2 linked regions of the Drosophila melanogaster genome follow. The protein of the gene in region 1 purifies or fractionates together with the protein of each later gene. This does not show direct contact. Each region holds a gene or a part of one and is shown on either strand. Other genes may lie near its edges. The genes, in order: Hsp67Bc and stv.

Region 1 (3,724 bases):
CTCTAGGGACTTACATTTCATCCGTGGACTTGGGATCCTGCCATTCGAACTCGCCATGCCGCCGCGCTGTAAAATCAACCGAATTTCATAATATCAGTGGGGGTTTTCGGCATAATATAGTGATGATTCTGTAGGTTTAAAGGCTCCACTTACGTATTGTGGTGTGCAGAGCATTGTGGGGTGTGTAGAACGCGGGCTTGGCAATCTGTTTACTGATTAATTTGCAGGAATTATGAACTGCAGAGCGGCGCAAAAGTAAACAAAACATTTTTTTGAGGTTACAGTGCCAGCTGGAGATGGGCAACATGCAATATGTCACGGGTTTTTATTATTCAGATTATAATCCCAAACAAAATAAATTAGTTTATAATGTACTCCATCTGCTAAATAACTTTAAAAATAATATATATACTTTGTGTAATTAAATGTTAGTTTCTTTTATTAAATTTATCGTTGACTTACCACTTGTTAAAAACTGTTACTTCGATAGATAGTTTTGGAAAGATGACTAAAAGCTATCGATAATTACACTTATGGCGGGCTTTCATTTCAAAGTTCAAAAGTTCACTCAATCGCACCTGGGAAAAGGCTAACCAAAGCTTTTTTAAGTAGGATTGACATCCGGGGACCTATTTTTAATATGCACAGCTTTTAATACCTGTCTAATCGAACAAAGGAAAGTTAATATTGTACCCAAAATTGGATTTCGTGCTTTTTGATATGAATTAAGCTCTTAAATATTAGTAAAAGTCTTTTGATTACTGAGACATTCATATTCCTTTATTAATACTGGATTTCGATTAGTCTTAAAATTTGATTGGACTGTTTAAAATGTAGCTAATAATAAATTAATAAATATAATACGATTTGTGCGATATTTTCTTGACTTTTTTTTTGGTGCAACGATAAACGAGAGTCTTGGGAAATCACTTGGCTGCTTAGGCTGCAATCTTTAGGAGGGGGCTCTTCACTTGGCTTCTGGCTCTGAAGCAGAAGCTGCCGGACCGGCCTCCTTATGACCGTTTCCATTCTGGAAGAGATCCGATGGACCCACATGCTTAATGGGTATGATGCGCTCCTTGAGCTCCTCCTTGGAAACTAATGGTGGAACCGTGATATTGAGAACTCCATCCTCCGACAAAGTGGAAACAATGGCATCCGAATCGAACTCCTTGGGCAGCGGATAGCGGCGAACAAAATGCCGGGATACATGTCCATGATCGTCCTCGCGCTCCTCGTGTTTTCCCTCGACCACAATGCACTCGTTGACCAGTTTGACGGTCAGTTCACCTGGCTGAAAGAGTCCCACATCCAGATGGACCTCGAAATTGCCCTGCTTATTTGAGGCTCCACCGCGGCTCAATGCAGCCAGCTCTCCGTTCCTTTTATTGGCCACCAGGTGATGGGCATGTGCACCCATCCGGGCAATCAGACCCAGGGTGTGCAAATCAAGATCATGATGCTGCCGCGAATGCAATCGCCTGTACATGCGATTCGGGAACATATCGTGGCCGTAGTACATGGAGTCCGGGGAGTCCAAATTCAAGACAAAGGGAATATCTGGCATTTTACTTTTCTTTGCTTAACTTCTTTGTGTATCTGGCGGAAGGAGGTTCGTTGAACCGACGACCTGTTTTCCTTTCAAAAAGTATCCAAGGGGTTGATTTGCCAGCGGGTGGTGGAATCCACAATCTCAGCTGCAGTTTGGCGCACAATTCACCTTGACTTTTCCGACTCGAATGTGGAGTTTAACGGTTTGTCTGCGCCCTTTTATAGAGACGGAAGAGCTTTGCCCATTGCCACAGAGCTTTTCTGGAGCAGCAACTCGTTGTTTCGTTGATTCTAGGGAGACAACTGGGAACCTTCTGGGGGCCAAGCTTTCGTAGACTGTAAACTGTTATATGTGATCCGCCATAAGGTATGTATGTATGTATAAAATGAGTGCAGATAGCAAGCTCTGTATTGGAGATCATACCATAAGATTTTAATTTCAAATTCAAAGTGAAATCGGATACAGATGAGAGGCGCAATCTCCAGTGTCAGCTGGACAAACAAGACGACACCACGATAATCAAAATGCGATAAGCAAGTACGCACATACATATGTACATACCCGAATCTTTAATCTTGAACCTCATAAATGGATCATCTGCGCCCAGCTGGCAAGTCAGTTGTTATTCAGCTGGCGAACCGGTTGAAATTCGTGCTCCGCCCCATAACTACAATGGCCACGTACGAACAGGTTAAGGATGTGCCCAACCATCCGGATGTGTATCTTATCGACGTTCGACGGAAGGAAGAGCTCCAGCAGACGGGCTTCATTCCAGCCAGCATCAATATACCCTGTAATAAACTACTTTCCCTAGTATTTGCTTTATTACTATGTGTTTTATTACTATTTATTTACTTAGTGGATGAACTGGACAAGGCTCTAAATCTGGATGGATCTGCTTTTAAAAACAAGTACGGAAGATCGAAGCCGGAGAAGCAGTCGCCAATCATATTCACCTGCCGGTCGGGAAATCGAGTCTTGGAAGCAGAGAAAATTGCCAAAAGTCAGGGATACAGCAAGTGAGTTTTAAAATTGTATTATAGTTGCAATAGTTTATATCGGATACATATATGTATGCTCATTTTAGTGTGGTGATCTACAAAGGCTCCTGGAATGAATGGGCTCAAAAGGAGGGACTTTGACGATAAACGTCGCTATATTTCTGAATAAATGAAGATTAATATTAATTAATTAATTAATTATTAATAGCTAAAAAAAACAGAAAACTTTAATTATTTGTTAATATTAAGCTGTATTTTTCATATATCTCAAGTTCTTGACTACACCCATGGCAAGCTTATCAATACACACACGTATACACTCGCACTCAGAAAGCTGTGCACTCCCACAAAACTTTCTCTCTCCCACTCTCTAATGGAGCTCTCTCAATCTGTCTCTCTGCGTATGGAAACTGACCTTCCCCAAGGCGCAACAGCGAGAGAGAACTTCGCTAAATGCTAAAATAAAAGGTAAATAAAGTAATATTTGGACACCCAGAGAGCCCCAGAAACTTCCACGGAGTTCGCTAAAGAACAGTGAACAACCCCTAACTAAATGCCATTGCCCGATTTCAGGCAAAGTGGAAAATTGCATCAGCAAAGGGCGAAGAAAATTCGAGAGAGTGCCGGTATTTTCTAGATTATATGGATTTCCTCTCTGCCAAGAGTATAAATAGCCACCGGTTGGACACTGCGCTCTCAGTTCAAAAAAACCAAACCAACTGCTAACAACTCGAAGAAAGTCAACTAAATTAAAATTTCGCCAGCTAAATAGAAATTTCATAGGATTGAAACTTCAGACAACAAGATTATCTTCGAAACATAGAGGAAAAATTTAAAAAAAAGCCAAGAAGTATTTCAAAGACAACAATTGGACGGAATTTCATCAAATTATTCGAATTTGCATAAGAAGCTTTTGTTGGAAAAACCAAGTTACCTTATTAACTACAATGCGTTCCTTACCGATGTTTTGGCGCATGGCCGAGGAGATGGCACGGATGCCACGCCTCTCCTCGCCCTTTCACGCCTTCTTCCACGAGCCGCCCGTTTGGAGTGTGGCGCTACCGAGGAACTGGCAGCAGATTGCCCGCTGGCAGGAGCAGGAGTTCGCTCCGCCGGCCACCGTCAACAAGGATGGCTACAAACTCACCCTGGACGTCAAGGACTACAGCGA
Region 2 (8,128 bases), 4.1 Mb from region 1:
ACATATTATATCATTGTTTGGCCTCGATTGCCGAAGCCGTGTTGCGTCCTTTTAAAATGTTCTTAGGATACATACAAAGTAACCACTTAGTCAGTATTTAAGGCCCGCTCCATTCCCGATCCAGGGTTCTTTTGTATATGTATTATTGATCGAGATTTATAACCTTTTCGATAATAAACTTTGATAATTGTGCAACCGAAGGATAACACAGTTTTATGGTCAACAATATCTACATTTATTTTCGCATTAATTAGTAGCATAAATAGTTATCATAGTTTTTTTTTTTTTTCTATAAGAGTTTACGTTCGTTTAACAATTCACCTGCAGCAAAGCCGTGAGTGGTGCACTCGGCGTGATTGGATGGATGAGTTGGCCTGTGGCAAGCAAGCGCGTCTGCTGTAGATTTGTATGAGATCATACGGCGGCTTGCTGCCCCTGTTGCTGCTCATCGGTACAATTTACGTATAAAAACTGGACTCAGGTTCAAAAATATCCTCATGGTGATCATCTATCGCTTAAACATAATCAGCTCTTTTAAGTGAAGCAACCCTTGTTGCCAAATCGTTTTCGCTCTGTTAACTTCCGAATTCTATGCAGGCACATTTTCTCAATATTAATTCTCTTACTAGCCTATAATCTACGCTGTGTGGTGTGTGTGTGTGTGTGTGTGTGTTATGATGTGTGGGGATGAGTGGGTGTTGAGTGGTTGACACGTGAGATTTGCATATGTTTAGATAGTACGGTTGTGCTTCTACGAAATACTAGCAAAGATTCGTCGCCAGCTCCTCCTATTCACATTCACATTACACATCAAATTCACTTTCACATTTACTTTGAATTCAGTAAAATCAAGTCTGTCGCTGTCCGTTGATGAGTCGGGATCGGAACTCTTCTCTATCCTCCGCCTGTTGTCACTTAAATTTGGTTAATTTGCGTAGCTGCTTCGAAACGGTCGCCTTGTAGAGGCGCTGTGTTCATCATTCCGACGTCGTTGTGGTTGTCTCCGACTGAACGGCGGACTGTGTCGCCTCCGCGGCGGTGGCTTCCGAAGCAGCTGCGCCCTCGACGGCAGCAGCATTTGGTGGTGCTGGTAGAGGGATGGGTTCCTGCATCTTTGTAGCATCCTGTGGCTGTGGAGTCACTGGCTCCGCATTTTGTCCGGCCGCTTCCGAGGCAGCAACTGCACCTGTGTCAACCGCTGGAGCTGTTGCGCTAGGTGCAGGTGCTGCTCCTGATGCCGCTCTGGCATTCTCCTCGGCCTTGGCCTCCAGCACATTTATCGAAGCCTGAATGCATCTGCAAGGAACAATCATTGAATTAATTAAATTCGATAATGAGCTCTGGTGACTCTGGTCACTTACTTGATAGCCTCCTTTCGGGCCAGACGAATGCTGTCCTTGCCGTTTGTGTCGATGGTGTCTAGCTTAAGCAGGTTGCGGGTCAGCATCTCGTCCAGGTAGGCGTACTCCTTCTCCTCGCGCGTTCCCTTGAACTGCTCCACCTTGCCCATGAGCTCCAGTACGTCGCGCTGAATGTCCTGGATTTTGTTAATAGAGTTGAGGGTATGTGGTGTCTGTGGCGGCAATCCAGCGGCTCCCTCAACTGGCACCTGCTGCTCAGGTTGCGCCTGGGTGTTTAGTGGCGTCGGTCTGTTGTGCTGCTGTGGAGCAGCGTGTGCCTGTGGCTGCGCCTGCGCATATGCCTGTGCCTGAGCTTGGGCCTGAGCACTGGGCGGAGCGTTCTGGTTCGGTATCTCCTTGTGGGCATTGATGATGGGCTCGGAGCGACCCTCAACAAAGATGGGAATGGTGCGCACATAGGTGCCACCCGGGGTCTGTGGAGCTGGCGGCGGGGTCTGCTGCTTTTGCTGGGGATGCGTCTGCTGGTGCGGCGCATAGTAGGTCTTGAACTGCTGACCCTGAACGGGCGGACTTGTCTGGGTGCCAAACGGTTGGCTATGTACTCCCGGTTGCTGATGCTGTTGCTGCTGCTGGTGATACTGCAGATTCTGCTGCTGCTGCTCTGGCGGAGGGGCGGAGTGGGATCGCAGTCCCTGATCCTGCTCGGCGACACTCTTCACGCCCATGTCGACAGTGTTTCGCAGTCCGTGCTGGTTCAAGTTAGTCGGCGGGGCACAATCAACCTCCGAGCGACCGGCAGGATCCTCCGTCTGGATGGCAGCATCGCAAAGGCGCTTTGAAGGCGTCTGCGGCACCTGCTGCTGGGTTGGTCCGGCATAGACTGGCTGTTGCTGGGGCGGCACACCGAACTGGAAGTGCGTCTGGGGTTGCTGTTGGGTGTACTGCGGCTGTGGCTGCGGCTGTTGCTGCTGTGGAACTTGTCCGGGTGCAGGAGCAGCTCCGGTACCACGTCTGCCTCCGAAACCATCTGGGATATACTGGCGGAACTCCGAGGGCAGCCGATTAAAGAAGTCATCATCGTGGTCCATGTGAGTGTTGGCCCCACCGGCCATTCGACCTCGGCGGCCCATCGTTGAGAAGCGGGGGAAACCAAAGTCTGGATCGTCGAAATAGGATGGAAAGTCATCATCAGCATGGACTTGACCACTGGGACCGTGCAAACTGCTCCGCTTACGTGAGTCGCCGAAGCCGGCGAAGGGATCGTGCATCCTGCCCAGGTGCGAGCGCGGGAACATGTTGTCCATGTCCATGTTCGGTTCGAATCCAAAGGTCGGCTGCTATCAACAGAGAGTAATTATAAATAATTAAATTATAATGAATTCGGAATGATTCTAGCTAAGAAGCTCTAATATGCAGGTATTCTTTTGGTAGCAACCACATTCTAATAGTTATTACTTTTATAATTTAAATCATGTTTATTAAGTTGCAAATATTGGTTTGAAAGTAAAAGTGCTTTTATCCGGTTAAAAATCGTATTTTAAATAAAATAATCGCTGTTTCACATCAACTATGTATTTGTTCTGTGTAGCAATAGAGGAGTGCAAATTGTTCGACTCGGTGGGCGAATTGTTTATAAATAACAGGGTGAGTCAGAACCATATAGATTGGGTACGAGTGTGGGCAAACAAGTGATGTCAATTGGCACTGAATGAACAGCTGTTGGGGAGCGGATGGATCTCGATGTCGATGTCGATGTCGGAACCTTACCTTTTGCCTGCTCAATTTGTTAACTTTATCAATGAGCTGTGCTCACTGCTCGTCAATTATTTCGCTACAAGTGTATTTACGAGTATTTAGCTATAGCCTGAATGTCTTTTTAGCTTTTGAATGCTTTTCCGCTTGGTGACGTGATGCACTGCGTCCGATTGTTTACGTGCGAATGAGGCGACTCGTCGGCCGAGAAGGCCTTTTAAAGCGAATGGCGCCCACTCTCGAATCCGCTGGCTGATTCTGGCCACTTCTCGTAGTTTCTGAGACAGTCGAGTGTTCTCGGTTCGGCTCGACGACCGATTTTGAGTCTCTCCTAAAAGGACGCTCTCTCTGCTGTTCAACTCAATTACCCGAAGTGACTTGTGGAAGTACAGTGAAATAAAAGATTCGGCTTTACTGTATCACATTTTCTGAATTGAACGGTAGGGACAAGATAAGTGTGTTTACTTCAACAATTAGTATTGTTTTACAATACCCTTCAATTATTAATGATAATTTACTGGCTTTCTTACATAAGCGCACTTGAAGAAATTGTCGTATATACGAGTATGTATACAAATTTGTATTTTTTTAAGGTTTTATAAGGCTTTTTTTAAATGGGAAACCTTTTGTAAAACAGATATATGTTTAAAAACGCCTTTCTGCGGTTACAAGAAGTTCTTAAACTTCTCGCTATCATGGCACCTTTATCTGTTTAAAGTCCAAAGTTCACCTTAGCACGTACCCACTGTACGTTAAGTTGGTGATGACGTTTTTATATAGTCAACGTCACCAACGCATTGCCGAGGCCCCCGCGTTGGCCAAGTTGATGTTGAGCAACCAAAATCCACCCACGCTTCCCATTAGACAACTGGCATGCTTCCACCGATATGCGCACATATGGAGTGCCATTGTGTGTTTACTGTACGGTGTGCCCACCTACAGTGGAAGACACAGACACGCACAGCAGACTTTGTTAAAGAATCAAGAGCGGGCCAATAGTATAGAGCGTTATTTCGATTCGACCAATTCTCAGCGCCCAAATAGAAAGAACGAGAGCATTAGCAGCAGAGCAACGCGTCATTAGCTTGTGTGTTTTCTTCTAGAAATTTTCAAATATTTTCTACGATTTGGTCGTGATAGATTTGGATTGCTGGCCATTAGATTAGGCCGCAAAGAAACAGCTGTACATTACTTGTCTCTGGTAAAATTCCGCACGCGTTGCGGCATTAATCATACGCAGCGTTGGCCACTAGACGAGCGCTTGACACGACATCAGCCCAGAAACTTGGCCATCCCCCCAGCAGATACTGCAAGCTTATGCCCAGTAGGTCAACAGAGTGTGCACACACACTTGACACACACTTGCAGGGGGTTGGATTTTCCCTCGCAACCCACTTTGTGGAGGGGTGAGTAGAAGAGGCTTTTACGCAACCACACTGACTTTTTCATTGTTCCGCACTCTTATTGCGATTTAGAGAGTTTACATAGCGCTAAAAGGCAATGCGAAATTGCCAAGGATTCAGTCCGAAAAGCGAAACAAATGGAAAAACCGCTGTGTCATAGCACAGTAAAATAAATAAAACTTAATCGCCTACCCAAGAATATTTCGCAAACAAAGAGTTAAGCTCGTCGGTCATTAATAGTAATTTGGAAAATGCCCAAGGTATTTAGAAAAATCTGGCCATCCTATAAGTATCTGTGAAGTACATTTTGTTGAATTAAAACAAAAGTAGTAGTAGATGCAGACTAACTAAAGACAAGACTATCATATTTAAATCACTCTTCATTTCGATTTAGTTATCACAGTCAGCTCCTATTCTATTTCTGAGTAGAAGTTGAACATAGATCATGCTACAATACCCACTGTAATTATTCCAAACCAACTGTTTCCGCGTCTAGAATCCCCACTGTACTTAAATTGCCACACGGCTAGCGAACAACAAAAACCATGACACTCATACGAATATGTCCCAGCTATGCGATCGAGGCTTTTTGGGGGCGGGGGAGATCTGGAGGGTGGGGGTTCGACCTTGCCAGGCGCCAACCTTGGGATCTCTCGCCGCTGCCGCTCGTCTGCCACCCTCTCCGCCTGCCCCCCTCCCCCCCTCGACAGACAAGCGCTGGGGGCCACTCACCTGAAAATGTTGCTGCTGCTGATTTGGAGGAACCTGCTGGTGCTGCTGGAAGTGCTGCTGCTGCTGCCTGGGCGATCCGTAAGCGTTTTGGGGAGTGTGGAACTGTGCCGACTGCTGTGGCGATCCGTAGCCGCCACTCACGTACTCCCGGTTTACGGGTATATTGACACCGGGACCGCCGGGTGAGACATTATTACCGGCGGCGGTGGCGGGATTGCTTTGCGCCTGATTGGCCGCCATCACAGTGGGCTTCATGGATGATTCGCTGGCCAGGAAAAGACCGTAACCGTAATCGCAATCGTATCCGTATCCGTACCGCTCGTACCGCTGGCCTAAACGCTATCGAATCCGTCGACGTTTCGCTGCGTAGCGACAATTTTTAATTTATTTCCTTTTGTTGATACTTGGCTGTGACTTTTCGTCGGCGACTACTTGTCGTGCCAGTTGTTGAGATTAATTTTTGGACGCGGGCTGGTGTGCACGAGGATGGCGGGGGCTTTTAATGGAGGGGTGCGGGCGCGGGCTCACCTTGAGCGACGACGCGTGCGAATACCGCTCGATTTCGATTGGGGCTTCTCGTATGTTCCTGATGCTTTAGCTCCTGCTGCTGCTGTTGGTGCTGCTGCTGCTGCTGTTGCTGCTGCTTTTTTGCTAAACGACCGGAGTGTGATGTCACTTTTGGCCACACTTTCTAGCTGCCGCACACCGATACGGCCACTTTTTTACTTCCACTTTTTTCAGCTTTTTAAGTATTTCCGCTCGCGCTCTCTGGCCCTGCGCTAGTGTTTGTGCGAGTGTGGGTTTTCGGATTTCTATATTCAATTTAAAATATATATAGATTTTTTATTTTTGCACATTGCCACTCGGTTGTTTGTTGTTGTTTTTACGGGGCCACGCATCCACACGGGCGTCCTCACGCTGCCAAAGTTGCTCGTCGACTGAGCGCCATCGCCATTTGCTTCTAACCATTACCGTATAATTTGCCTTTGCCAACAGCCCCACTGTGGCGCTCTCTCTCCCTCTCTCTCGCCCGCTCGATTCTCATCCGCTCTCCGTTCGGCCTCCCTCTATCTTTCTCTCGCGGTAAGCTTTGCTTGGCTTCTACCTGGCTTTTCTCCGGCGGTTTCAGACCTTAATTGGTAAATGTTTAATACTATCTTACGGATACGGATACCGTTCTCTCGATCCGCTCTCCCCAGCTCGCTCTCCCCACTCTCTCTCTCTCCGTGCACCGATCAGACATCAGACTTATAAATAGAAAGTTGGCCAAGAGAGCGGCTCTCTAAAACGCATTCCTCGGCAGTCGCATGGCTTCTAAAATTCAAATCTGTAACCGTAAGCCACACTGCGGGAAATTTGGCACGATAAATGACTCTAGTTGGTAGTAACTATCGAATATGACCATTTCGCGATATAAAAAACGGTTTATAAATTCTTGAATAAAATTGGGAAAAATATAAATATCAAACTCCTACGCAGAAACTAACTGTTGTGCTCATCAGTTATAATATCAGTTATAATATGCTTAATTTAGACAATCAAAATCTGTATTTCTCTTACCATTACCGTCGGGTCCATTATGCCATTTTTAACCAAAAGTATTCAATTAATCTTCTTTTATCTCAGTGCCTTCGGGCCGCCTACATACAACCACTGCGTCACAACCGCCAAAGAGCAGCAACGAGTAAGGCAAACACGAAGGCAAAAAGAAGGCAAAATCAGCAGCGTAAACAGTTGTCATCGCCCACTGACGGAGTCTTGTTGAGCGGCCAATCAATCGATCAATGACTAACGATCTGTTGCCACAGCTCCCCCGCACTTGATACCTTTTCAGTTTTCGCCATAAACAAATGTACAATGTGCAGTAGCGACAGAATGTCTTCGCAAGTCGACTGTTATTGCAAAACGATCAGCTGATAACCGCCAGTTGTTTGGACCAAATGTTTACTCCACCTAAGCAACCAGCGCCATAAGCATTTTCTTTTGAATCACGAAGTGACCCACGCGTACAGCTCTGGTCAACATAATAGGGTTGGATAAAATGGGTTTTCCGAGACCATCACAAAATTATAAAAACTTAAAAATCAATTTTAATTCAATTTAATTTGAGAACAAAGTTGGTCAGAATATAGGTCAAATAACTTAAATAACTTATTGAATCATCGGTTGCTTGAAGCTTTAGCCAAGAATATTTTTTTTATTAAAGTATCGTTAAAAATATATTTTTGCTGGGGCACGATTGGTATAATTACAATTATTCTGTATCATTTCCGTATCCATTTCGCTGATAGGATTTCTTTAAACGTTTCTCAATTGTTTCATTATTAGTATATTAACCTCAATTGTAGATCTGTGAGAATATGCATGCTCGTCTGTATGAATGTATATAATCAGACGGCCGGCGGCGGCACGCCCACCTATCTTTATCCATTAGATTTATTTTCCAAATACTTTCTCGTTGTTTGGGCGAACCACTGCGTCGCCAGGGCATATAAAATGGAAATAATTCATAATTAAATATTGCACATCTCTGTATAGATATAGAAGTGAATTGTATACGTTTATATCTGATTATATATATACATGCGATTTTTGTTTTTATAATTTGCCATGTAGATACACGAGCGAAATGCAATGCCAGGCATTTATGCATTTCAGACGTTTTTCTCGGAACTCGTATTTCAAATGTAAATATATCTTTTTTCTGAAACGGGTCAAGATAAATAAATCAGTCTCGTGAAGTTATTGTATCAATTTACCAATAAAGCATCAAATTTTTAAGATTGCAGCTTATGGGTAAATAGAGTATCTCACACATAATTCTTTTGAATTTTGATCTGCTCCTTTTATGGCCTGATAAATGAAACGTAAGCCGTCAAA

Evidence for each region.
Region 2: the proteins of Hsp67Bc (region 1) and stv purify together in Drosophila melanogaster (affinity purification with western blotting; one study listed by BioGRID). This does not show direct contact.

The regions. Positions count from the first base shown.
Region 1 is NT_037436.4:9,370,751-9,374,474, forward strand, and holds Hsp67Bc (heat shock gene 67Bc), read right to left. Parts: upstream 1,748-3,724; 5' UTR 1,568-1,747; coding exon 968-1,567; 3' UTR 761-967; downstream 1-760. Other genes in the region: Fdx1 (ferredoxin 1), read right to left, coding at 15-66, 154-268; CG4456 (uncharacterized protein), read left to right, coding at 2,225-2,345, 2,412-2,571, 2,640-2,694; Hsp22 (heat shock protein 22), read left to right, coding at 3,501-3,724.
Region 2 is NT_037436.4:13,475,603-13,483,730, reverse strand, and holds stv (starvin), read right to left. Parts: upstream 6,191-8,128; 5' UTR 5,504-6,190; coding exon 5,249-5,503; intron 3,288-5,248; exon of another isoform or gene 3,129-3,287; intron 2,968-3,128; exon of another isoform or gene 2,817-2,967; intron 2,699-2,816; coding exon of another isoform or gene 2,696-2,698; coding exon 1,362-2,695; intron 1,297-1,361; coding exon 978-1,296; 3' UTR 216-977; downstream 1-215.